Linked DNA regions of Ovis aries. The protein of the gene in region 2 binds, or shares a complex with, the protein of the main gene of each other region. Links are inferred from orthologs where the notes say so. Each region holds a gene or a part of one and is shown on either strand. Other genes may lie near its edges. The genes, in order: SUFU and GLI1.

Evidence for each region.
Region 1: the proteins of GLI1 (region 2) and SUFU are in contact, whole or in part, in a crystal structure (PDB 4KMD), measured with the Homo sapiens proteins. The link is inferred for Ovis aries from reciprocal best matches to the Homo sapiens genes GLI1 and SUFU. Residues at the interface, in NP_005260.1 of Homo sapiens: Gly119, Ser120, Tyr121, Gly122, His123, Leu124, Ser125, Ile126, Gly127; in NP_057253.2 of Homo sapiens: Leu144, Tyr147, Asn153, Thr154, Phe155, Gly158, Asp159, His160, Val161, Ser162, Trp163, His164, Gln212, Asn265, Leu266, Ser267, Gly268, Val269, Ser270, Ala271, Glu376, Leu380, Lys398.

What each region holds. Positions count from the first base shown.
Region 1 is NC_056075.1:22,874,376-22,885,544, reverse strand, and holds the start of SUFU (suppressor of fused homolog), read right to left. Parts: upstream 5,204-11,169; 5' UTR 5,016-5,203; coding exon 4,834-5,015; intron 151-4,833; coding exon 16-150; intron 1-15. Other genes in the region: ACTR1A (alpha-centractin), read left to right, coding at 8,294-8,341. UniProt on the Homo sapiens protein: Negative regulator in the hedgehog/smoothened signaling pathway. Down-regulates GLI1-mediated transactivation of target genes. Down-regulates GLI2-mediated transactivation of target genes. Part of a corepressor complex that acts on DNA-bound GLI1.
Region 2 is NC_056056.1:162,168,862-162,179,230, forward strand, and holds the end of GLI1 (zinc finger protein GLI1), read right to left. Parts: exon of another isoform or gene 9,207-10,369; intron 8,833-9,206; 5' UTR 8,784-8,832; coding exon 8,684-8,783; intron 8,477-8,683; coding exon 8,384-8,476; exon of another isoform or gene 8,183-8,383; coding exon of another isoform or gene 8,119-8,182; coding exon 7,923-8,118; intron 7,669-7,922; coding exon 7,524-7,668; intron 7,190-7,523; coding exon 7,100-7,189; intron 7,011-7,099; coding exon 6,873-7,010; intron 6,558-6,872; coding exon 6,408-6,557; intron 5,674-6,407; coding exon 5,509-5,673; intron 5,017-5,508; coding exon 4,786-5,016; intron 4,259-4,785; coding exon 3,991-4,258; intron 3,610-3,990; coding exon 1,868-3,609; 3' UTR 1,675-1,867; downstream 1-1,674. Other genes in the region: ARHGAP9 (rho GTPase-activating protein 9), read left to right, coding at 49-183, 541-646, 1,236-1,407. UniProt on the Homo sapiens protein: Acts as a transcriptional activator. Binds to the DNA consensus sequence 5'-GACCACCCA-3'. Regulates the transcription of specific genes during normal development.

The DNA.
Region 1 (11,169 bases), on a different chromosome or scaffold from region 2:
AGAGTACACACTTACTCATGGACTCTGTTGTCACCATAGAGATCGCTCAGGCCAAAGCTGATGTAGTGCCAGTGCTCAGGGATGTTGGCAGAGGGGCTCCCCACATTCCTGTACATGCTAACATAGTCCAAGGGGTCTGGGCCACCCAACCTGCAAAAGACAAAACACAGGGATGTCAGCATAAACCTTAAAGCAGACAATGTGAAGCTAAAGGGCTCTGCCTTACAAACCTATAGGCCCCATCCTGGACGAATCTGGGGTAAAAGAGAACTAAAGGGAGGGCCATACCTCTCTAGGATAAGACCAAAGGATGGCCAGCTGGAGGTAGCCCAGCTACACAAGCACAAGAGGCTCCCTTCTCCTATCTCAGGTAGAACCTCTTTTAGAAATAAAACAGACTGATTGCTCCCTTTGACTTCCTTCTGTTTCAAGTTACCAACCCCAAGTGGGATTGGCAGGGATTATCTCTCTTCCACGGTGCCTGAAAACACGCCAAGCTTCAAGGCAAGAAGTGCATCAGTCAATCAATGTGCCTCTGTTGAAAGACCATCCTGAGCATCTCCAATGGGCATTGTTACTGGAAGCAGAGGCTCGGCCCCACTCCTGCCTCTTAGACAGCTAATTCCTGAAAGACCATATTGTGCCCTATGTTAATTATAGTTTGTTCTAAACAGACCCAATGCCTCCAGATCCCAGCCTGAACACCCCAGACCAAAGCTGGTCTTTTATCATGCAAGTGACAAAGGCCAAACTTAGGCTAGCTTAGCTCTGCACAGAGAACTGCAGCAGGAGCCCGGCTGAGCCCTGTGAGGTCTTGCAACTGCAAGATGATCCCGGGAGATGGCTGCCTGAAAGGTAGAGCTGGAACATTAAATGATTCAGGGCCTCTGAGGACCACATTAGACTTCCCCATAATTCCAACAGAGAGGCAACTGAGGAAGAGATCAGTCATTAGCTCACTCTGAGGATTTAATTCAAGAAGGGTCCCTTTAGCAGAGTAATTAGTGATCTTTTTAAAAGAATCCTGCTTTTCTTCAGAATGGAGATGGAAACGTGGTAGACTCGAGAGACAGACTAAATGGAAACCATTAGCACAAGGAAGTCTGCATTTAGCCCCCAAACCCTGTACTTGAGCTGCCTTGGACATCGGACGGTTCCACAGACTGCAAAAACTTTGCTTGACCCTGGGACAAGGATGGGGTACACTTGGCATTGGGGATTATATGCTGAAAGAACACAACCAACCAAATAAAAGATTACACGTATGTTATCCCAGCAAACATGCCAGTACCACACGATGCAAACACTATTTAAAACCAGTAGGTTTGGTTTCACCCTCTTTTGCCAGGACATTATTTGCCTTTGCAGAAGTCCTTATTCTCTGCTGGGAAATGCTAAGTTATTTATAGGACTTGCAAGAAAGTCGCTACAAATAGCTTAGAATCTCAACGGAGTGGATTAGGAAAAGAGATAAATCTCCATGTCTTTCCTTAACTCTGCTTTTGCCAAGTTAGTCACTCAGTCATCTCTGACTCTATGCAACCCCATGAAATGTAGCCTACCAGGCTCCTCTGTCCATGGAGTTCTCCAGGCACAAATACTGGAGTGAGTGGGTAAACCATTTGACTAATTCTATAATCATTTGGATTTAGAGAAGTTTGTTGGGGAAAAGAAGAAAGAAAGGGTGGTTACCCCTGCAAGGACCTCATGATAACGGCAGAGCCCTGGAACAGGTGGGAATGATTACAGGCTCCATATCTGCTCTAGTCTCCCTGCTGCCGAGTCCCAGTCCTGCCCAGCCTTCAGCCTAGGTCCCTCCAGCAACAAGGGGCAAAACTGTGTCCACTCTTCTGTGCTCCCCATCTACCACATCCCTGACAGCCCTGGCCAAGTCTCCCAAAGGGCATTTCATCTAAGAGAGAGGCTTTACCTCAAAACTCCATCTGCAGAAAAGGACCGAGAGTCAAACAAAATTAGCCTTTTCTCTAAGTACATAGTGTTCTGTTCTACTCACTCGGAGACCTGATAGGAAGCAGATGAGTACGTGGAAAATCATCATATTTTGCACTTAGAAAAAGATGTTATCCCAGGACCCAGATCATCCCTCAGTGTAAGTCCCTGAACACCTGACTTCACAGGGAAGTTGCCAGAGTGACCCAGGGCACTAGCTCTACTTCAGCTCCCTGACCAGTAAAGCCTCAGCTTTCAGCCATGATGTCCCAGTTGGCTAGTCAAGAAAGTCATCCTTCTGTCACAAGAAAAAAGAATCTCAATACCCTGGGCCACAGCCAAACTGAGGCAGCCTCAGTCAGTCATCCTGCTATGAACACTGAAGAGGGCTTATAGGATCCTAAATGTGAAGGTTTATCAGTGAACCACTTTCAGGACTTAATTATGCAACCCCTTCTGAATTTTAGAAAGAACCAGTCCCTGGGCTGTTTCTTCTCATTTATTTCTGTATCCAGGCAGCATTTCTAATTTCACAAAGTGCTATACAATCGTTTTTATTCATCATTAGATGCTGGCCCATCTTTTAAGATAAGTCCTGACTTGGTTAACAAACTTGCAGCAACATGGGAAAAAAGGTTCACAGGGAGATGGAGGAAAAAGCAGATTCCCAAACTAATCTTAGTCCTTTGCATGTGTTCAATATCTTTTTCTTTTTTGCCACACCTCATGGTTTGTGGAACTCCCCCAACCAGGAATCGAACCCATACCCCTTGCAGTGGAAGCACAGAGTCTTAACCCCTGGACCGCCAGGGGAGCCCGTGTTCAACACCTTTTACAACTCTATCCTTCATGTCCACTTGGGTGACATAATAACAGTGGCCCAAGTCTGAGAGGGGATTTCTCCTTATACTCAAACAAGGCCTGAACAAACAGCATGCCAGAGGCAGGTCCCCTTTTTCTCACGAAGTATGCCAATAGAGTCCATCACTGTACATATTTAAATATAGTGGTACAAACCAACAAAGACCTACTGTATAGCACATGGAACTCTGCTCAATGTTATGTGGCAGTCTGGAGAGGAGAGGAATTCGGAGGAGAATGGCTATATGTGTATGTAAGGCTGAGTCCCTTCACCATTCACCTGACACTATCACAAACATTGTTAATCGGCTATATACCAATTTAAAATAAAAAGTTTATGTACTGAAAGGAAATTATACCAGATAGCAATAAGTCAAGAAAAAGAAGTAAATGGTAAAAAAAATGATAAAAATGAAATAAAATTGCCATAATTTGTAGATGAAAATAAATAAAAAGTTTAAAATGAGTGATTAAGTTATCAAGAGCTGCTTTTTACTCAGAAGACCTCTTCAAAAACTCCTCTCAACCAAAGAACACCGTGCCTGCCAGAGAAAACTGTGCTGCAGGCCACACCTCCTTCTGGCTACCAGACAGAGGCAGGCTGCTCCTGCCGCTCTCCCCACGGAGCAGGTGGTTGCTCCCCAGGCCCTTCACACTGTCAGCCTCTCCACAGCCTCCCACAGACATAGGGAGCTGGCCTCCGCCCTAGGCAGCCCAGCTCCTGCAATCTCCAGAAGAAGTAAGTGGTTGCCAGGGAGGGAAAAGACTCAGCCCTAAAGGAAGGTAACCAGTAAAGACATCCACTCTACTCATTCCCCCTTCGGGGGTACCTCCCCTTTGGTCACACCCCAAGTGCCTGCCTTGAACAGTCTTTTAGGAGCCAATGAAGGAGTTCATCTAATACAGTGCCTGCATGAAAGTGGTTTTGTACAGATTCAACTAGTTTCTTAGTCAACTTTTAGTTCAGCAAGACCATGAAGAAGAGTCCCCATAACAGAGGTGGCACGAAGAAACAGGTTACAAAAAGAATGGGAAACGAGAAAAGACCATTCCTTCCCCAGGGGCAGTCCATGTGTACATAGGTCTGATCTTAACAGAGTTACTTAGGGATTACTCTCAGCTCCCCTGAGGAACTGTTGCCTACATCTGGGCGCTCCAGCCCACAAAGTTACTCTTAATATCTCACTGAAGGATCCTCCCGTGTCCAAGTTCCGGATCTTCGTCGTTAACAGCAGCCTCCTTCAATCCTGAGCCAAACCATGGATCTCCCTGACCCAGCCTGCCCCTGTTCTAGCCAGTGACCTAGACCAAAGCAGCCGCGGAGCCAGAGGAAGCTCTGCATGGAGTAAGAGAACTGTGCAGAGTAAGCAGAAAGTTGATCGGGAGAAGCTGCTCCATCAAACTTCAAACGCAAAAGCACTGCACTGATATGAATGTCTGAGCTCATCCGGAAGGTATCAAAATGAGACCTCCCCCTCATCCCCTCACAAGCTCAACGCTCACATCCTAACCCACAGACCCACACCCGCCCCTACCCTGTGCAGTCCCGTGCCCTCCGAGCTCGGAGCTCCTCCGGCCGCGCGGCTCCAAAGCCTTCTCAGATGCTCCTCAGGCCCCGCCTCGCCTCCCCCATCTCACTTCAGCCGCCCCCCTTCGGCTTCCACGCGCCCACTTAGACCCCCTCCAGGCGCCCCCTCCTTTCACCACGTTTACAGTTCCCTCTCTCCGACCGTCGCCCCCTCAGCTTCTACCAACACCCCCAATTCACTCCATTCTTCTAATGCCAGTTAACCCTTCATCCTCCCCTCCCTTGCTAACCCTTCGCTACCCGCAGGCTTCGTTAACCCCTTTGTCCCCATTCCTAACTTGAGCCTTAACTTCTTCCCTCACAGCAGGAAGCCCTCTTCCAAGTGCTTTAACCACTCTCCTTTCCCCTCCAATTCCCTGGCAAATTACTTCGCTCCTGGCGCTTTAACCCTTCTCAGCCCGCCCCTGTCGGTCTCCGCGCGGCCCAAGACGTACCAGTACTTGACGATAGCGGTAACCTGGAGCGGGTTCGGCTGGTCTGGGTACAGGCGGCGGCACTCTCCGTAGATGGCGTGCAGTCCTGGGGGGAAGAGCGACGCGAAGGCCGGAGGGGCAGTAGGGCCAGGGGCCGGGGGCGCGGTGGGGCCGGGGGCGCCGCTAGGCCGCAACTCCGCCATCGGGGCGCGTAGGGTGCTGGGGGGACCGGGGAGGGCAGACGAGGGGGAGAGCACTGACGCGCCAGCAGGCGAACTCCTTGGGTGCGACTCCCGGAGGCGATGGGGGCTGCAGCGAGGTCTAGGCTCCGCGCCTGCGCAAGGCGCACTGTCCGCCCAGGCCGTCGCCGCGGTGGAGACGGCCAGAGGGTGCCTCGGGGGCCGCGGGGCGCTCAGGGGGCGGGGTGCCGGCGCGCCCTATTCCGGTTCCATTGGCCAATGTCTGTGCCAGTCACAGGTAGGGAAGGCGTGACTTGACAATAGGTCCCGCCTCCCTCTCTCTCCCAGAGTTGTGGGGGTGTTCCAAGGCTCTTCGCTTCCCCCTAGCGTTAGGAGGAGCCCAGGATTAAATAGAGATATTGGGACATCCTCTGAGGTGCTAGGGACCCAAGAAAGCTTTGGGAAGTGCGCCGACAAAAAGCATGTCACTGTTATGCTAATACGATGCTCAGAAGGATTTATTTAATTTATTTATTTCAGAAGGATTTAAACATAAATGTAACAATGGATTGCTACAATGGATTGCTTCCTTCGTCCATGTAGCATTAAAAACGGGATTTTTTAGTTTCTAAGGCACCGGGTTGGAAATTATTTTCCTGCCTGCAATAACTTTACTTATAGTAATGTCTTCCACTCAATAATCTTGAAATTTCAAGAGAAAAGGATAGAAGAGAATCCTGACTACTGGCGGAAAGTCCTGACTACTGGCGGAAAGTCCTGACTACTGGCTATTAACTAAAGATCCCCACAACATGAAGGAAAAGAGGAAATAATTTATTAGAGAAAAATGCACTGGGCTCCTTAGAAAGCAGTAACACATAATCTCTCAATTCCATTTTCTCATTCATCAGTGTCATTTCTGCTGCTGCCACTGCTGCTAAGTTGCTTCAGTCGTGTCCGACTCTGTGCGACCCCATAGACGGCAGCCCACCAGGTTCCCCCGTCCCTAGGATTTCTAGCTCCCCATGAAAATTAAAGATATACTAGAGCAGTTCCTGGGCTTCCCTCGCAGCTCAGTCGGTAAAAATCTGCCTGCAGTGCAGGAGACCTGGGTTCGATCCCTGGGTCGGGAAGATCCTATGGCGAAGAAAATGGCAACCCACTCGAGTATTCTTGCCTGGAGAACCCCATGGACAGAGGATCCTAGCAGGCTACAAATCCATGGGATCACAAAGAGTCAGACATGACTTAGCGACTAAAGAGAGACAGAGAGAGACAACAGTTATGAAGCTATTAGATGAAGGATGTTTTAATGACCAAAAGATCATCTGTACCAGTAGTTCCAAATGTCAGTCTTCAGACCAATACTAGTATGTTGCCAGGTTTACACCTTTCCAGGAAAAACATGAGAAAATCAACCAAAAATATTTTGTTGATTATTTCCAGTACTTTGGCCACCTGATGGGAAGAACTGACTCATTGGGAAAGACCCTGATGCTGGGAAAGATTGAAGGTGGGAGGAGAAGGGGACGACAAAGGATGAGATGTTTGGAGGCATCACTGACTTAATGGACATGAGTTTGAGTAAGCTCCAGGAGTTGCTGATGGACAGGGAAGCCTGGCGTGCTGCAATCCATGGGGTCGCAAAGAGTCGGACACGACTGAGCTGAACTGAACTGAACAAAAATATACCTTTTTTTTTTTTTTTTCAAAAAAAGCAAGCCTTATGCAATATACTTTCCTTTGTTCTAGGAATATGTTCCTCAGCTGTATGTATACTAAAATTTCCTTTTATTAGACTAAGAAGGTGGTTGAGTTCAGTTCAGTTCAGCCACTCAGTCGTGTCCCACTCTTTATGACCCCATGAACCGCAGCACGCCAGGCCTCCCTGTCCATCACCAACCCCTGGATTCCACCCAAACCCATGTCCAGTGAGTTGGTGATGCCATCCAATGATCTCATCCTCTGTTGTCCCCGTCTCCTGCCCTCAATCCCTCCCAGCATCAGGGTCTTTTCAAATGAGTCAGCCCTTAGCATCAGGTGGCCAAAATATTATTGGAGCTTCAGCTTCAAAATCAGTCCTACAATGAACACCCAGGACTGATCTCCTTTAGGATGGACAGGTTGGATCTCCTTGCAGTCCAAGGGGCTCTCAAGAGTCTTCTCCAACACCACAGTTCAAAAGCATCAATTCTTCGGCGCTCAGCTTTCTTCACAGTCCAACTCTCACATCCATACATGACCACTGGAAAAACCATAGCCTTGACTAGATGGACCTTTGTTGGCAAAGTAATCTCTCTGCTTTTGAATATACTATCTAGGTTGGTCATAACTTTCCTTCCAAGGAAGAAGCATCTTTTAATTTCATGGCTGCAATCACCATCTGCAGTGATTTGGGAGCCCCCCAAAATAAAGTCTGACACTGTTTCCACTGTTTCCCATCTATTTCCCATGAAGTGATGGGACTGGATGCCATGATCTTCGTTTTCTGAATGTTGAGCTTTAAGCCAACTTTTTCACTCTCCTCTTTTACGTTCATCAAGAGGCTTTTAGTTCCTCTTCACCTTCTGCAATAAGGGTGGTGTCATCTGCATATCTGAGGTTATTGATATTTCTCCCGGCAATCTTGATTCCAGCTTGTGTTTCTTCCAGCCCAGCGTTTCTCATGATGTACTCAGCATATAAATTAAATAAGCAGCATGACAATATACAGCCTTGACGTACTCCTTTTCCTATTTGGAACCAGTCTGTTGTTCCATGCCCAGTTCTAACAGTTGCTTTCTGACCTGCATACAGGTGGTAGATGTTTATTAATGCCTTATAGACCCATATAAAAACATTGCAACCTCATATTGTCCAGGGGAAGTAGTGGCAAGTGGAAGGACTAGCCTGTAAAATCCAAACATTCACGAGTTACTAATCAATCCAAACCGAACTACAGACAATATTGAAGACTACATACTTCAGCTTGGACTGAGAATCCCTTCAAAGGGTCTACAGATCCAGACGCGAGATTGCAACCATCAATAGGCGTACCCTTCCATTTACCTACAGAAACTACAAAGCCCAGCGTACTGTGCGTCGAAACGCGACGCTCCGTTCCTTAAACTAGGCGGGGTTCCAAAGCAGCCTGGCTCGCTAATTCAGGTGCAAGGCATGTTGGGTATTGTAGTTCTTCGAAAGTGAGGTCGGGCCGCTCCCCGGCTGCCCAGTGCCGGCGGCTAGACTGCGCATGCGTGTCAGTGGCGTTAGCGGCGGACCGGGCTGGCAGTTCCTTCCTCGGAAGGAGAGGTTCTTCTGCCATGGAGTCCTACGATGTAATCGCCAACCAGCCTGTCGTGATCGACAACGTGAGTTGCATCCCCCTAGCAGGGCTTATGCTCTCCTCCCCGAAGGGATCGCTTCCCGTGTTTCAGTCTGGGCTGCCGGTTCTTTGTCACTGGCCCGGCCTGTCAGGCGGGTTCAGCCGCCGCCGCCTCTCTCCTCCCTCGAACCGAAGTCCGCAGATAGGGCGACCAGCTGGCCAGCAGCCATGAGAAGGAGAACCTTGGGATGGATAAAGGGAAGGGTTATAGTCCTAGCAGGGTCCTTGGGCCCTTGACTCAAGGGTCCTTAACCGCTCTGTGAGCCCCCGGCACCCGCCCCTCCCCAGTTTTCGATAACTCTATTGGCTGCTCTGGCTGTCCATCTTGACCGCTGACCCCGCCTCTGGGCCTTGCCGGATGGGGGCAGCCTTCTGCAATGATTGGCTCGTTCCCTTGCCGTTCTTCCGGGCCGCCATAGTGTTTCCTCTTTCAAAGGGCGGTGCGGTGCACGAGGGCTGTTGTGATTGGTTTCGGGGACTCCCAGTGGAGGGGGCAGACGGGCTAGGGCGGCGGGTGGAGCAGGGCTAAGTTTCCTTCGGTCCCAGCCGGTAGGGCGGCTTGGCGGTGTATCTGGGTGGGGTCTGAGAGTGTGATGCCAGAAATGGCCTGAGGATTTCAGTTACTTCTGTGATTATAAATTATACCGTTAATAAAGGTCGAGAAGAAAGGAGAATGACAAAGCAAGCAGGGAGGTACCTTCCTCTTTGAAACGCCTAGTTGCTGAGGGTAAAAATTACTAAATATAATACTTGCCAGGCGCTCCAGCGCTTACAACGGAGGGGTTCGCATACATTCCAGTTGGATCTTCACAACGTGAATAGTTAAGGCAGGAATTTTGATCCTCGTTTTACAAATGAGAAAACTGAAGCGCAAAAATGTAAAGTGAGCCCAAGGTCGCACTTTAATCCTGTGCTTTATCCGTTATTCATCCTGATAGTACCTACGCAAATGTATCAATAGTCACAAATCGAAAGAATCTAAATATAGCTCTTATTTCTGGCGGAAGGAGGCAGTTATTTAAAAAGTGACTGTCTTCCATTCAAAGGTTTAGTCCAATGGAGATTGGTTGCTACCTTTCTAGTCCCCTCTGAGTCCCTCTACTAAGGCAGAACTGCCAATTCGCTCTAAGCTGACTCAGATTCGGTTTCTTGATTCAGTCCTTGGGACCGTTGGCACTTGCAAGGTCCTTTAGTTTGCATCATCTTATTCAAGCTTCAACACTGATAGGTAGATAGGACTCTAAATATCCAGAAAAATGAAACGTGAAAGGTTAAATAACAGTATTCAAACCACCTGGCTTATGAATTGAAGAGCCAAGATTCAATTTGAGATTGAATTCTTAATTCCTCACTTCTTCCAAGGAAAGGTGCTTCTTTAGCTAGCTTTCTTTCCTTCTCTCCTGGAAAAAGGTTGAGCTCAGTGAGACACCTCATTTTGGGGAGGATCTGATCGGCGGGCAGGACAGGGAGGGTCTCGGATCTCCTTCCTTGGGCTATTGAATCCGGGTGGGAAAAGATGCTTGGTAGTCCTTCATTTTTCCTTAGTCTCTCGTTCCCCAGTTTCCTCCACACAGACAGTATCTAGGGCCTGGCACCACTAGGTGCACACTGGATTTTTAATTTTTATGGGTAGGGGGGATTAATGGCTGAAAATCTCTCACAGTAACAAAAATGTCCCTAAATAAAAGGATGGGAGGAAGGACTAGTTACTGCATAAGGTTGAGCAGGACTCTTTATTCTTGATGTTAATTTTCAGAGAACACTACTATTTCTATCTTCAGCCAGTTTGTGTATGCTTCATGTGCCTTTTTCTTGGTTTTAAAAAGAAAGAAAAAATAGAAATTAACAATTTCCTGTTTTCATCAGCAGTGCAAAAAGAGCAGTCTGTCCATCCCACCAGACCTTTTGCTTCTAGAATTGTTGGGCTGCAGTGTTATCTCCAACCATTTTCTTTATGTCACTTAAGCAAATGCTTCTTAGTTCCTTCTTTCTCATTCTTGAGAGTGTATTTGAAATGCATCAAAGCAGCGGTACCTTTTCAGTTTGAATACTTAAGGAATAGACTTGTTTTTCTCTGGGAAAACATTTCCTTTATTATGCCAGCAATCTCACCAAAAGGTGAAGTAGGAGAAACTTAAGTAATTTTCCCACTAGATCATTTAAAATATTTGAGCCAGCTTTATATTATGAGGATAACGTGTCTCTAGCAGATTTAACAGCTCCATAGTTTACCATGCTGCCACAGTTTTATTTCTGGGCTAAGTAGAGTGTAATTAAAAGACAGAAGAACAGAGAAAGCAAGGAAAAGAGAGAACAGCCCCATTATCGGTTCACAGCCTTTCCTAGTCTTAACGCAATTGTTGACCACCCCTTTCATAGAATTCTGGGACCAAACCAATTCATCAGAATTTAATGAAGATGGAAGGGTGTGTGTATGCATATGTGCACACGTGATTTAATGATGACAACAACAAAAAAAAGTGATGAGTATTTTAAAAAACTAAACATGTTGTTCTTCCCAAAGTCATATCACAGATAGTAGTACAAGAATGAGAAGGGCCACTCCCAGGACTACAACACTTTAATAGGAATACTATATTCTGAACTCAGATCTTTGGGAGGTTAAATACTTCCATAAAATGAATCAACATTATGGTCAATCTTAAAATTGTCTTTTCTGGCTATAATATGTGGGCCTACATGCAGGAATAATATCAGATCTCTACAAGTTTTTCAAGCTAAGAGTTTTATTGTTTTGGGGGGTCATTATGTTTCTTCGGCCCCCTTTTTGAAAAATGAGATTCTTTAAACACA
Region 2 (10,369 bases):
TAACCCTTCTTGAGCCCTGAGCCCTTCTGTACCTCCTTTTCCTTCCAGAAGGCCGATTAGATTTGGACAGTGCTGAATGGGATGACATTCATGTGATCACAGGAGCCCTGAAACTTTTTCTGAGGGAGCTACCCCAGCCTCTGGTGCCCTCACTACTGCTGCCTGATTTTCGTGCTGCCGTTGGTAAAGGATGGGAGCTTTGGGCAATAGCCTTGACACGGGATGGAGGGCGGGGGGGAGGCATGAGTGATAAAAGAGTAGAGTAGAGGTTTCCTTCCACTCCTCTGTCCCAGCCTGAATACAGAGATGGAAATTAATTTTCAATTAATGTGCCCACTCCAGTTGTGTATGTGTGAGTGTTTAAGAGGGCTGAGTTAAAAAAGAATTCTAAGATTGTAATTGGACTCAGTGAAAAAGAAAGCCATGATCGATTAATGATGTCTTCCCCAAGCACCAGAAAGGATACTGAGGTTACCCACTCTGCCTTAACACCTTTCCTAACCTCACTCCCATGCCCTTCCTGTCACTCTTTCTCTCCAGCCCTCACTGAATCAGAACAGTGCCTCTCTCAAATACAAGAATTAATAAGCTCAATGCCAAAGCCCAACCATGACACTCTGCGGTACCTCCTGGAGCATTTATGCAGGTCAGGAAGACTGAATATCTTTGTTCACGTCAGGGGAGGGTGGGGTGGGGCCTGCAGCCGGGACTCTGTGTTCAGATGGGGTGAAGGCAGGGAAACACCGAAAGTTAGTGGGTCATTGAGGAAATAGGCACTCTGTGCCGAGGATCGAAAACCTTTTTTGCTCAGTCAGAATCAAATGAGGAACTAGGGAACAAGACAAGTCTAGGGATGATGCGAGAGAAATAAGGAAAAATCTAACCTTCCCTCTGCCTTTGTCTTTCACTGGGACAGTGGGGATGACATTTGGCAGAGCTGGGCAGTGACCTCTGAGAGAGGATAGCCATCTGAATGAAAACCTCCCAGATGATGAGCAGAGAGGACTCTAGGGGCAGTCTCTGAAGTCGGGAAGAGGCGGGTATATCCTAGGTTGCGTCCTGAAGGTTTCTCCGCTGGTCTCAGTTCTGTCCCCCTGGTTCTTTCCTTGGTTTTCTTCAGCTACTGCATGGAAGGCCCCCAAAGTGGATTCGTCCTCAAACCTTTGATGGGTTAGATTTATTTGAACTGGCAAAGCTGCTATACTATGGTCCCGTCTCTTGGCCTTTACCCACAGGGTGATAGCACACTCAGACAAGAACCGCATGACCCCCCACAACCTGGGAATTGTGTTTGGACCAACCCTATTTCGGCCGGAGCAGGAGACATCGGATCCAGTGGCCCATGTCCTCTACCCTGGGCAGGTCGTCCAGCTGATGCTCACCAACTTCACCAGAGTCTTTCCCTGACTGGGGCAAAGAAGAGAAAACGTATTTCCAGCGATCTCTGTGGGGTAGCCTTTGGTGGGGGCGAGGGAGGGGGTGGTTCTGTTTTGAGGACATCCCTTTAAATCCTGTCTCCCGGATGGCCGTCTCCACCTTCGTGAGTCTGAGCTGAGGGCCTGGGTTAGGATGAGGAAACTTCTCTAAAGAGGGAGGTGGCTGGATTAGCCCCTGCTTCTCTAGCTTCTGGCCATCACCCCTCCCCCAAGATAGTCACAGTATAAAGCAGGGCTCTTTCTGATGCAGTTCCTTTATTATCAGGAAACGGTGTCATTATCAAATTCCTCCCCAAATATATTTAGACTGTGTATAGCCCCAGCCCACCCCCCCATCCCTGGGGCATCCCAGGGGGCTATGGCTCCTCCTCCGGACTTCCTCATGGGGATGGAAACCCCTCAGGAAATGTGGATCTGTGGTCCCCCACTCCTTAAGCACTAGAATTGAGGAACTGTGTCTCCCCAGGCAGGGATCCCAGTAACACACTCATGTTGCCCACAGCCATGTTGGGGGTCCCAGAGGGAGGTGGGGTGTGTTCAGAGCTGTCCCTCTGATCGTGAGAAGGGGGAGGACTCAGCCCCTGGGCCTCATCCAGAATAGCCACAAAGTCCAGCTGTGTGTTGTCAAGATCAAGAGAATCCAGAGGGTTACATACCTGCCCTTCAGGAGGAGGGTACAAGGCAGGGCCCCCTCCCAGCCTGCCCACCTCAGGATGGCCACAGCTGGGATTGGTGCCCCCTGCCTTGAGGGGCCCATAGCAAGCTGGTAGTGGGGGTAGAAGTCGGGGTGGTGCTGCTGCCCTGTGGGAAGCTTTGTTGGCCCCTACTGCAAAATTTTCATGGCATGAAGGGGTAGGATAGGCGCCCGGCTTGTGATTGGGCATATTAGGTGCAAAGCCAGGTCCATATGTGGCCACTGGGGCCTTGGCAGGGCTTGAGCTGACCTGGGAACCCCCCAGAAACTTGGGACTCTGATAGAGAGGTTCTTGGACTGGGGGGTCTCCCCTGCCCCCACCCTCCCACAGCAGCTCCTGTTGAGACTGAACATAATTACACACAAGCTGCGCCTTGAGGTGTCCTGTAGAATGAGTGGGGGACTCGAAATCCAGGCCCGGCCTGGCTTCTGAAGGCAGATAATCAGGAGGTGGCTGGGTATAGGAACCTGACTGGGGATACTGGGGAGGGGGAGGCTGTGGGTAGTGGGAGAACAGAGGCTGTGAGCGTGGAGGCCCCTCATTGGGGTGGGCATTGAGGCAGGGTGCCAGTCCTGTGGTGTCAGAACCCACGGGGCACCCCTGTTCTGGCTTCACTTGCACTTGTCCATAATGTTCAAGACGAGGACACTGGCTGTAGGCTCCAGCTGGAGCCTTGGGGCCTGAGTAGAGCCCAGAGTGGGACGGGAACTCACTCCATGTTTCTGGGGTTGGTTCAGAATAGGGAACCTGCGGGGGACAGGGGCTGGGGCCATAGTTGGTGGGTGGGCCAGGCCCAAGAGGCAGGGAACCGGGCCCTCTAGCTCCATAAGGCTCAGCTGCTGCCGCCTCAGGCCCTCCATATCCCAGAGTATCGGCAGGTGGGAAGTCCATATAGGGGTTCAGACCACTGCCCATCATGGAGGTCCCAACCTCTGGCTCCTCCCGTAGCCCTCTGGTATCCATGGAGACATTCTCAGTGATGCTGGGGGGCTGTGGTGAGTAGACAGAGGTTGGGAGTTGGGGATCGAAGTTCTGTCCTCCTCCTACCACTGTAGGGGGGCTGTGGACACAGCCCAAACTCTTGAACCGCTGGACTCTGGCTGGGGCAGGGCGGTCAACCGACCGGGCTGGGTCACTGGCCCTCCGGGTGACCCCTACATTGGGGTTGTATCCTGGATACTCAGCTCGGCTTCTCCAGGGAGGTGCAGGAAGAGCCCCCGTCCGATCCAGGCTGGGTGCTGCAGTGGGAGGGGTACCACCTCCCCTGGCTGAAGCATATCTGGCCCGGAGCAGGTAGTGCTGGGCAGGCGTGAGGCCAGGCAGGGAGGATGCCCCATTCTCTGGTGGGGAACCAGGGGGGAAAGGGGAGGCAAGGGAGGAGCGGCGGCTGACAGTATAGGCTGAGCTGACACTGCTGGAGCTGCTGCTGCGGTGGTCAAGAGAGACCGGGGGGCCCAGACGGCGAGAGCCAGGAGTGCCTGTAAGAAAAGACAGGCTGGCCAGGGAGCCCTCTGAATTTCACCCTGCCTCTCCCAAGGGGAAGCCTTGTCCAGAATTCCAGGGAAGGCTCCTTAACTCTAGCCACTCAGTTCTCTCCCCTCCTTCTCCCACTCCCTTTTTGCTTCTGGGTCATCAGACATTCAGGGTCGCTGTGAACAGTCCTACAGATTGTACACTGCACAATCAAAGGGGACAGCATTCAAAAGACAACAATTTTCTGATAGAAGGAAGGAAAGTATCTCGAGGAAAGGAGACCTTTTTCTAATTGTGCAGCAGCCCTGAAAGGTGAAGTCTCCCTCCCAGTCTCAGAGAAGGGCCAGATCTCAGCCCTGCAACCATGCCCCACACCCATCACTCACCGGCATGGCTCAAGCTGGGCAGTTTGAGGCCCCGGGGCCCCATCGGCCGGAACTGATGTAGCTGGTCCAGCCTGAGGTTCTCAAGGCGGCGAAGAGTAGACAGCCCAGTTCCCGCAAGGCAAGGCCCCTCGTCCAAGCTGGACAGGTCCTCCGTGCTGCCCCCTGCGTTTCCAGTCATTTCCACACCACTGTCTGTATTGGCTGCACTGCCTGCTGGGGAGTGGTCACTGCTGCAGGACGACTGGGCCCCAGGGCTCGGCTGTGGCTTCTGTGGGGAAAAGCAGGGCTGAAGGCGGCGCCCATCCTCCTTCCCCACAGCTCCTTGAACTTGGTGAGTGACTAGAGCCCGTGTCCCAGTGACTGCTTACAGGTGTAGAGAGGGCTGATCCAGTGAAAGACACGGGTGAACTGGGGGAAAGTTCCTAGAAAAGAACCTAGACTACCTCAGCTCCAATTTGTCCTCTGTAACCTTGGACAATTTCTCTGAGTTTCTTCATCTGAAAATGACAAGAGTAAGTTCCCTTCTCATGAAGTTGTTTTGAGGCGTACCTGAAATTATACTGGTAGAAGGCCTCAAATTATACACTAATTTCTATATGAGCTGGTTGGACCCAGGCACTAATGAATTACAGTAAAATCCCTAGATTTGAGGTAGCCTAAGGAGCAACACTCAGATAAGGGACTGGGGACCAGCCACAGAAGAGAGATGAGCATAGAAGGAGATGGACCAGTTGGAAGGGGCTAGAAAGATGTCGGCAGGGCAGGCAGAGGTATGGAGGCAGGGCATTGCCTCACCATGGCACCCTCCGGCACAGTCAGTCTGCTCTCCTCCCTAATGGGGCCTCCATCCCGCTCCCTCTTGGGCTCCACTGAGGAAAGAGCCGGTGCCCGGGGCAGGGGGCCGTCTCCTCGGTGCCGCTTGGTCACGTGGGCATCAGGACCGTGTACTGTCTTGACATGTTTCCTGAGCGAGCTGGGATCTGTGTAGCGTTTGGTGCAGCCAGGGAGCTTACACACGTAGGGCTTCTGTTGAGTGGAGAGTGAAGACAGCAGGCAAAAGAATCAAACCGGGACAATGCCAGGAAATGGGAAAAAGTGGTGGCGTTAAGTGAAGACAAGGGGACTCGGAGGAACGCATAGCACCCAAGGAAGGAAGGAGAGTAGGGCCCTTGGAGTAAAGGATGAACGGATCAAGGGGAAGATTAGGAAAACGGATAGGCCTGGGAAAGGGGAGGGAATGAACCCAGGGCTGCAAGGCCTCATAAATTCAGGGGGTTGAAGGTACCCTAGTTAGAATGGGTCTATTTTAGCTTAGCCCTTTGACTGGTTAGAGGTGGGGGAGGGATAGTAAGTGGAAATTCTTGGTTTCAGAAAGACAATCTCTGGGTGAATTATGCAGGTGGAGGGGAACTCACCTCTGTGAAGTGGGTGCTGAGCTAAGGGGTTTCTTATGGGGGAAGCTCCCAAGTAGGTGGCGTCTGTAAGTGGGGAGGAGGGTCTCCTGAGTGGGGCATTCACCTCATTGGAGTGGGTCCGATTCTGATGCTTGGCTCGGTCACTGGCATTGCTGAAGGCTTTACTGCAGCCCTCGTGCTCACACATGTATGGCTTCTCACCAGTGTGTGACCGCAGGTGTGTCTTCAGATTTTCCAGGCGTGAGTATGACTTCCGGCACCCCTCAAACTAGGGGATATGGGGTCAAAGGATGGCTCTCAGACAGAAGGACATGGAGATTAGCGGAACCCTGAATCTCAAAAGGGACATACATCAGAGAATATAATTCAAGCGTGGGACTTCCCTAGTCGTCCGGACACTAAGACTCTGTGCTTCTGATGCAGGGGACTTGAGTACAATCCCTGGTTGGGGAACTGAGATCCCACATGCTATGCAGTGCAGGGGAGGACGGGAGAGATGGGAGAGTGCTGGGACTATAGAATTCCCAAAATTCAGGGACAATGGTAGGCAAAAGCGGAGGGGACAGAAGTAGCTGGAGGCACTCTGCCTGCAGGGATGTGGAGATGAGGCAGTGAGCGCTCTGGATCAAGTCAGAGCACATCTCCCTGCCTGGGGAGCCCAGACTGTGTTAAGATGGGGTCATCCTGGTGTGTGTCCTCAGTCCAGGGCTTCTCCATTAACCCAAGTTGTGAGCACAGTGCCTAGGTCCACTGTACTGTCTGGTGCCCACAAAAGTGTTTTAATTTCTTTTAAAAAAACAAGGGGGAAAAGAAATTAGAAAGTATTCTAACATGTAACGTCAATACGTTCATCTTTATACCAATGCGGTCTATATAACACAATTTTTAAATGTTTGTTTGTGGAGGAAGGGACCTGTGATGGCAAAAGTCAGATTGGCCCCTGCCTTTGTGGGGAGCCTTGATTTAGGAAGGGACCCTGAGCTTGGGGAGGGGGTGCCTCACCGTGCACTTATGTGGCTTCTCGCCCGTGTGTCTGCGCATGTGCACCACCAGCATGTACTGGGCTTTGAAGGGCCTCAGCTCCCTGGAGCAGCCCCCCCAATGGCACACGAACTCCTTCCGCTCTCCATGGATGTGCTCACTGTTGATGTGCTGAGGGAGAAGATGCAGAGGCTCTCCGAGGTTCCCTATGCCCCTGAGATCCAGAACAGACCTTCTCTTGACCTCCCCACCCCACCATATCCCTCCATGACTTCCTGTCATGGGGAAAGAAAAGGCAGGAAGAAGATCAGAGCCCACATCTCCGTTCCTCCCCGTTTCTAAACAAAGCTACAGCTCCTCTGAGTTTCTGCCTACCCACTGGATATTCCATCTTTGACCCCCTGCCCTTAGCCTGACTCCACCATGTCCCACCCAGAATGCCCTACAGGCTCCAGCCAGCATTCCTGTTACCCCCCCAGGGCTCACATGCACCAGCTGCTCCTGGGAGTCAAATTCCTGACTGCAGCCATCCCAGCGACAGTCAGTCTCATACACAGAGTCAGGCTCAGGCTTCTCTTCTCTCTCTAGGTCCTCCCGCCCATCCAGCATCCCCAGCAGTGGATCCTAGGGTAGGAGAGAAAACCCTAGGGTCACCTGGTGACAGCTTTTGTTTCGTTCAGGTTCCAGAAGTAAAGCTCCCCACTCCCCATTACCTGTGTGCTCGTGGAGTTGGGACTGGACATATCACCTTCCAAGGGCTCCTCCGGGCACTTGTTAACCAGCACACCCAGCTCAGACTTCAGCTTTCCCAAAGGAAGGTGAGGATGATGAAGACAGAAGTGGGAGGAGGAAAAGGGACCCCAGCCAAGTCTTCCAGCCCTGAGTGTCCCACCCTAGCAGCTGCAACCCCTGAGTTTGACTTCCTCCTTAGACTGCACTGGTGAATGGGGTGAGAGAAAGGTGGGATCTCACTTGGAAGAGACTGACAGAACCTCAAGGAGTCAACCCCCGGCATCCATATTCCTTTATTTTTCTGGCACTGAAAACTTTGACATCCTCTATTCTTTCGCCTTTCCTCTAAAAGAAAAAGCCCACCACCCATCCACCCTGAACTGAGGGAAATCAGGTGATTCTCACCTGGCAAGTTGGGAGGGGTCCCTGGGACTGAGGATGTGGCATCATCCCACCCTGCGTGGGGTCATGGGGACCACAGGGCTGGACCCCAAAAGAAGGCGAGGTCCCTTTCTGGTGGTTCATCTGGGGTGAGAATCCCAGAGATGGGCTGTGGAGGAGGAGGAGAGGCAATCATTTAGGACTGTCGTCTCAGAAAGCCTCAGGAGTTCCTGGGCTCTTTGGAAGGTTTCTGGAAGACAGTATGGGAAACAGTGGAGACAGCCCAGGGAAAGTATTGAAGAGGACTTCCACACCTTTGAAATGATAAGGATTCAAAGAGGATCAGGTGGTTTGGAAGGCTTTGAGGTTTCTAATGGGGTTTGGCAGGGTCTTAGGGGCCTCTTAGCTCAAGGCTGTCTGCACCTCATGGTGCCGATGGAGAGGTGACCATAGGAACCCCCAGGAGATGCACAGCGTGAGTTGATGAAGGCCACGAGGGAGCTGGGCGAGGTGCGGATAACTGTCTGCAGGTCCAGGCTGGCGTCTGACAGAGGGGAGATGGAGAGTGCCCGCTTCTTGGTCAATTTGACTGCACTCCGGGGAGGAGGAAACAGTGGCGCTGGGGCAGGAAACAGGGGAGGTAGATACGATAAAGGAGTAGGCCCCTCATGCATCCAACCCATGAGGACTGACTCTCAGCAAAAAGAAACAACACTAGACTCTACCCTGTTGACCTCATCTGTGACCTTCTGATCATGCTCTGACTCCTTAATCCCATCTCTAGGCATTTCCTTTTCCAAGGTAGATCCCCTGCCCTCCAACACTCTCCCTCAGGACAAATCCCAAAGGGGCAGAAAGGAAAGACAGGTTGCCTGAGGCCTCACCCTCTGCGCAGCTGTTGGCTTCTCTGGCTGGCCCATAACTGTGGGGGCCGGGCATGAGGGTGGCCTGATGGCAGAAGGGCAGGCCTGGCAGTCCTAGGAAAGAGATACAGCTGGGATGGGGCATGGGAATGAAGGGCACATACAGTCCATCTTGAAACTCCAAGTAAGGCCCAGTCCCATATGGCATAGGACCTCAATTCTTTTTGTATATGGGAAACGAATGGGATAGAAGAGGGACCCCTGGGGCTGGGTGAGAGATCTGCCAGTAGTCAAAGTCCAGGGACTGGTGTATGTACTGACCTTCTGTCCCCATACTGGGGGCCCCCTGACTGGGGAGGGGCCGGAGACAACAGGGCTCGCCATAGCTACTGACTGGTGGTGGGGTCATCGAGTTGAACATGGTGTCTCAGAGGAGAGTGTGGGGGTCACTGCAGGAGGGGAAGGGAGACCTGCAAGTTACAAAGGCAGGAGGGAAATATGGAAGGTCAGATAAGTCACTCAGGCCCAGAACCCTGGGCAGATTACCTCCGAGACATCTGCCATGGAAAATCAAGTTGAAAGGAGCATCGCTCAGCTAGGGGAGGTTATGGAGAGAAGTCCCATAGAGACAGAGGCAGTCCTGGGGATCTTTTTAGGACTCCTTTTTAGGGAGGAGCTCTGCCTGGATGGAGTGTTTGTGTGAGTGTGTGTGTGTTGGGGGAGTGTTGTGGACCAAAATTGTGACTAGGAGCTTCAAGTGCTTTTTATACCATGGGTCCTGTTCTGACCATGGGGCCAGCCTTCAGGGATGGGATGGGGGGACTCAGGAGGAGAAGTGACTGACCTCAAGCTCTGGGCTGGCTGATCAGCCTGAGCCCCTCTCCCTTTCCTTCATCTGTTGCTCTTGGACAGCCGGTCTACAACCTCTCCAGTGTCCAGCAGAGGGAGCCCTCGCCACAGCCCAGACAGGCTCACGGGGCCCGGAGGGAGCCTAGATGATCTGCCCTTTGCTCTGTAAGGCAGAAAACTGTGTGTGGAAGGGGAACAAGTTTCCGAGGAGAGCCTCCCAGGTCTGCTGGTGCAAAGGATGGAAGCTGGTGTTACTCAGGGGTGGTTTCAATCTGGGCGCTGACTTAACTCTTTTTGTTTGTTTTGGAGCAACTGGAAAGGAACTGTGAGGAAAAGCTTTGGGAGAATAAACACACATTCGTGGGCGCACTCACACACAAGTCATCATCCGTTAGAGAGAAGAGAGGTAGTAAGGGAGAGGAGGGTGCCGCTGTCCACTTTTCTCCTCAGGCTCCAGATTTTGCTCCACCCCGGGTTTTCCGGTCTCCCGGGAATGAGGGTGGGGTGGGGCGGGGTAGGGTGGAGAACGACCGGGAGCGGGCCGGCCGGCGCGGTGGGTGATCCCGGGATGCTGGGATTTAGGGTGAGGGCGGGGTAAGATGGGGAGCGGAACCTGGACCCCAGGACCCAGCCGATCCCCGCAGCCAGGGCTGTACCCTTCCTAACTCCTCCTTTACTAGCGGAGATCCGGATCCTGCAACCAAGACCTCCCAACTCGACCTTGGCATTACGTTGGGGGGGGGGGAGCGGGCACAGCTGGCTGGCAGCTGGATGGGGGGACACTTCTCCCGCCTCCTTCCTCTATGACTCATCCAAGGAGGCGGGGGCTAGCAAACGACCCCCCAAATCTAAAGAGACTCCCCCAAACATGCCTACCCAGTCATCTTTCAGCCCCAATGTCCAGCCACAAGGGAACCGAGATGGAAATGGGGTGATAATCCCTCCTCACCCACGCGTGCCACAGCCCACCCACGTCTCCCCTTCACACTGGTGAAAGGAATATTTAGCTAACTTTTCCAGCTACAGAAAATGAAGGTTTTCGGCTGGAGCCCTGAATCATCTGTGTCTCCCAGTTTTCCAGAGTCCCCCCTTGCACCCCCGCTCCCCAACTCCCAGGAGTCGGCCCCGCCCCCTTCTCCCGGTCCCGCCTTTCCCGCC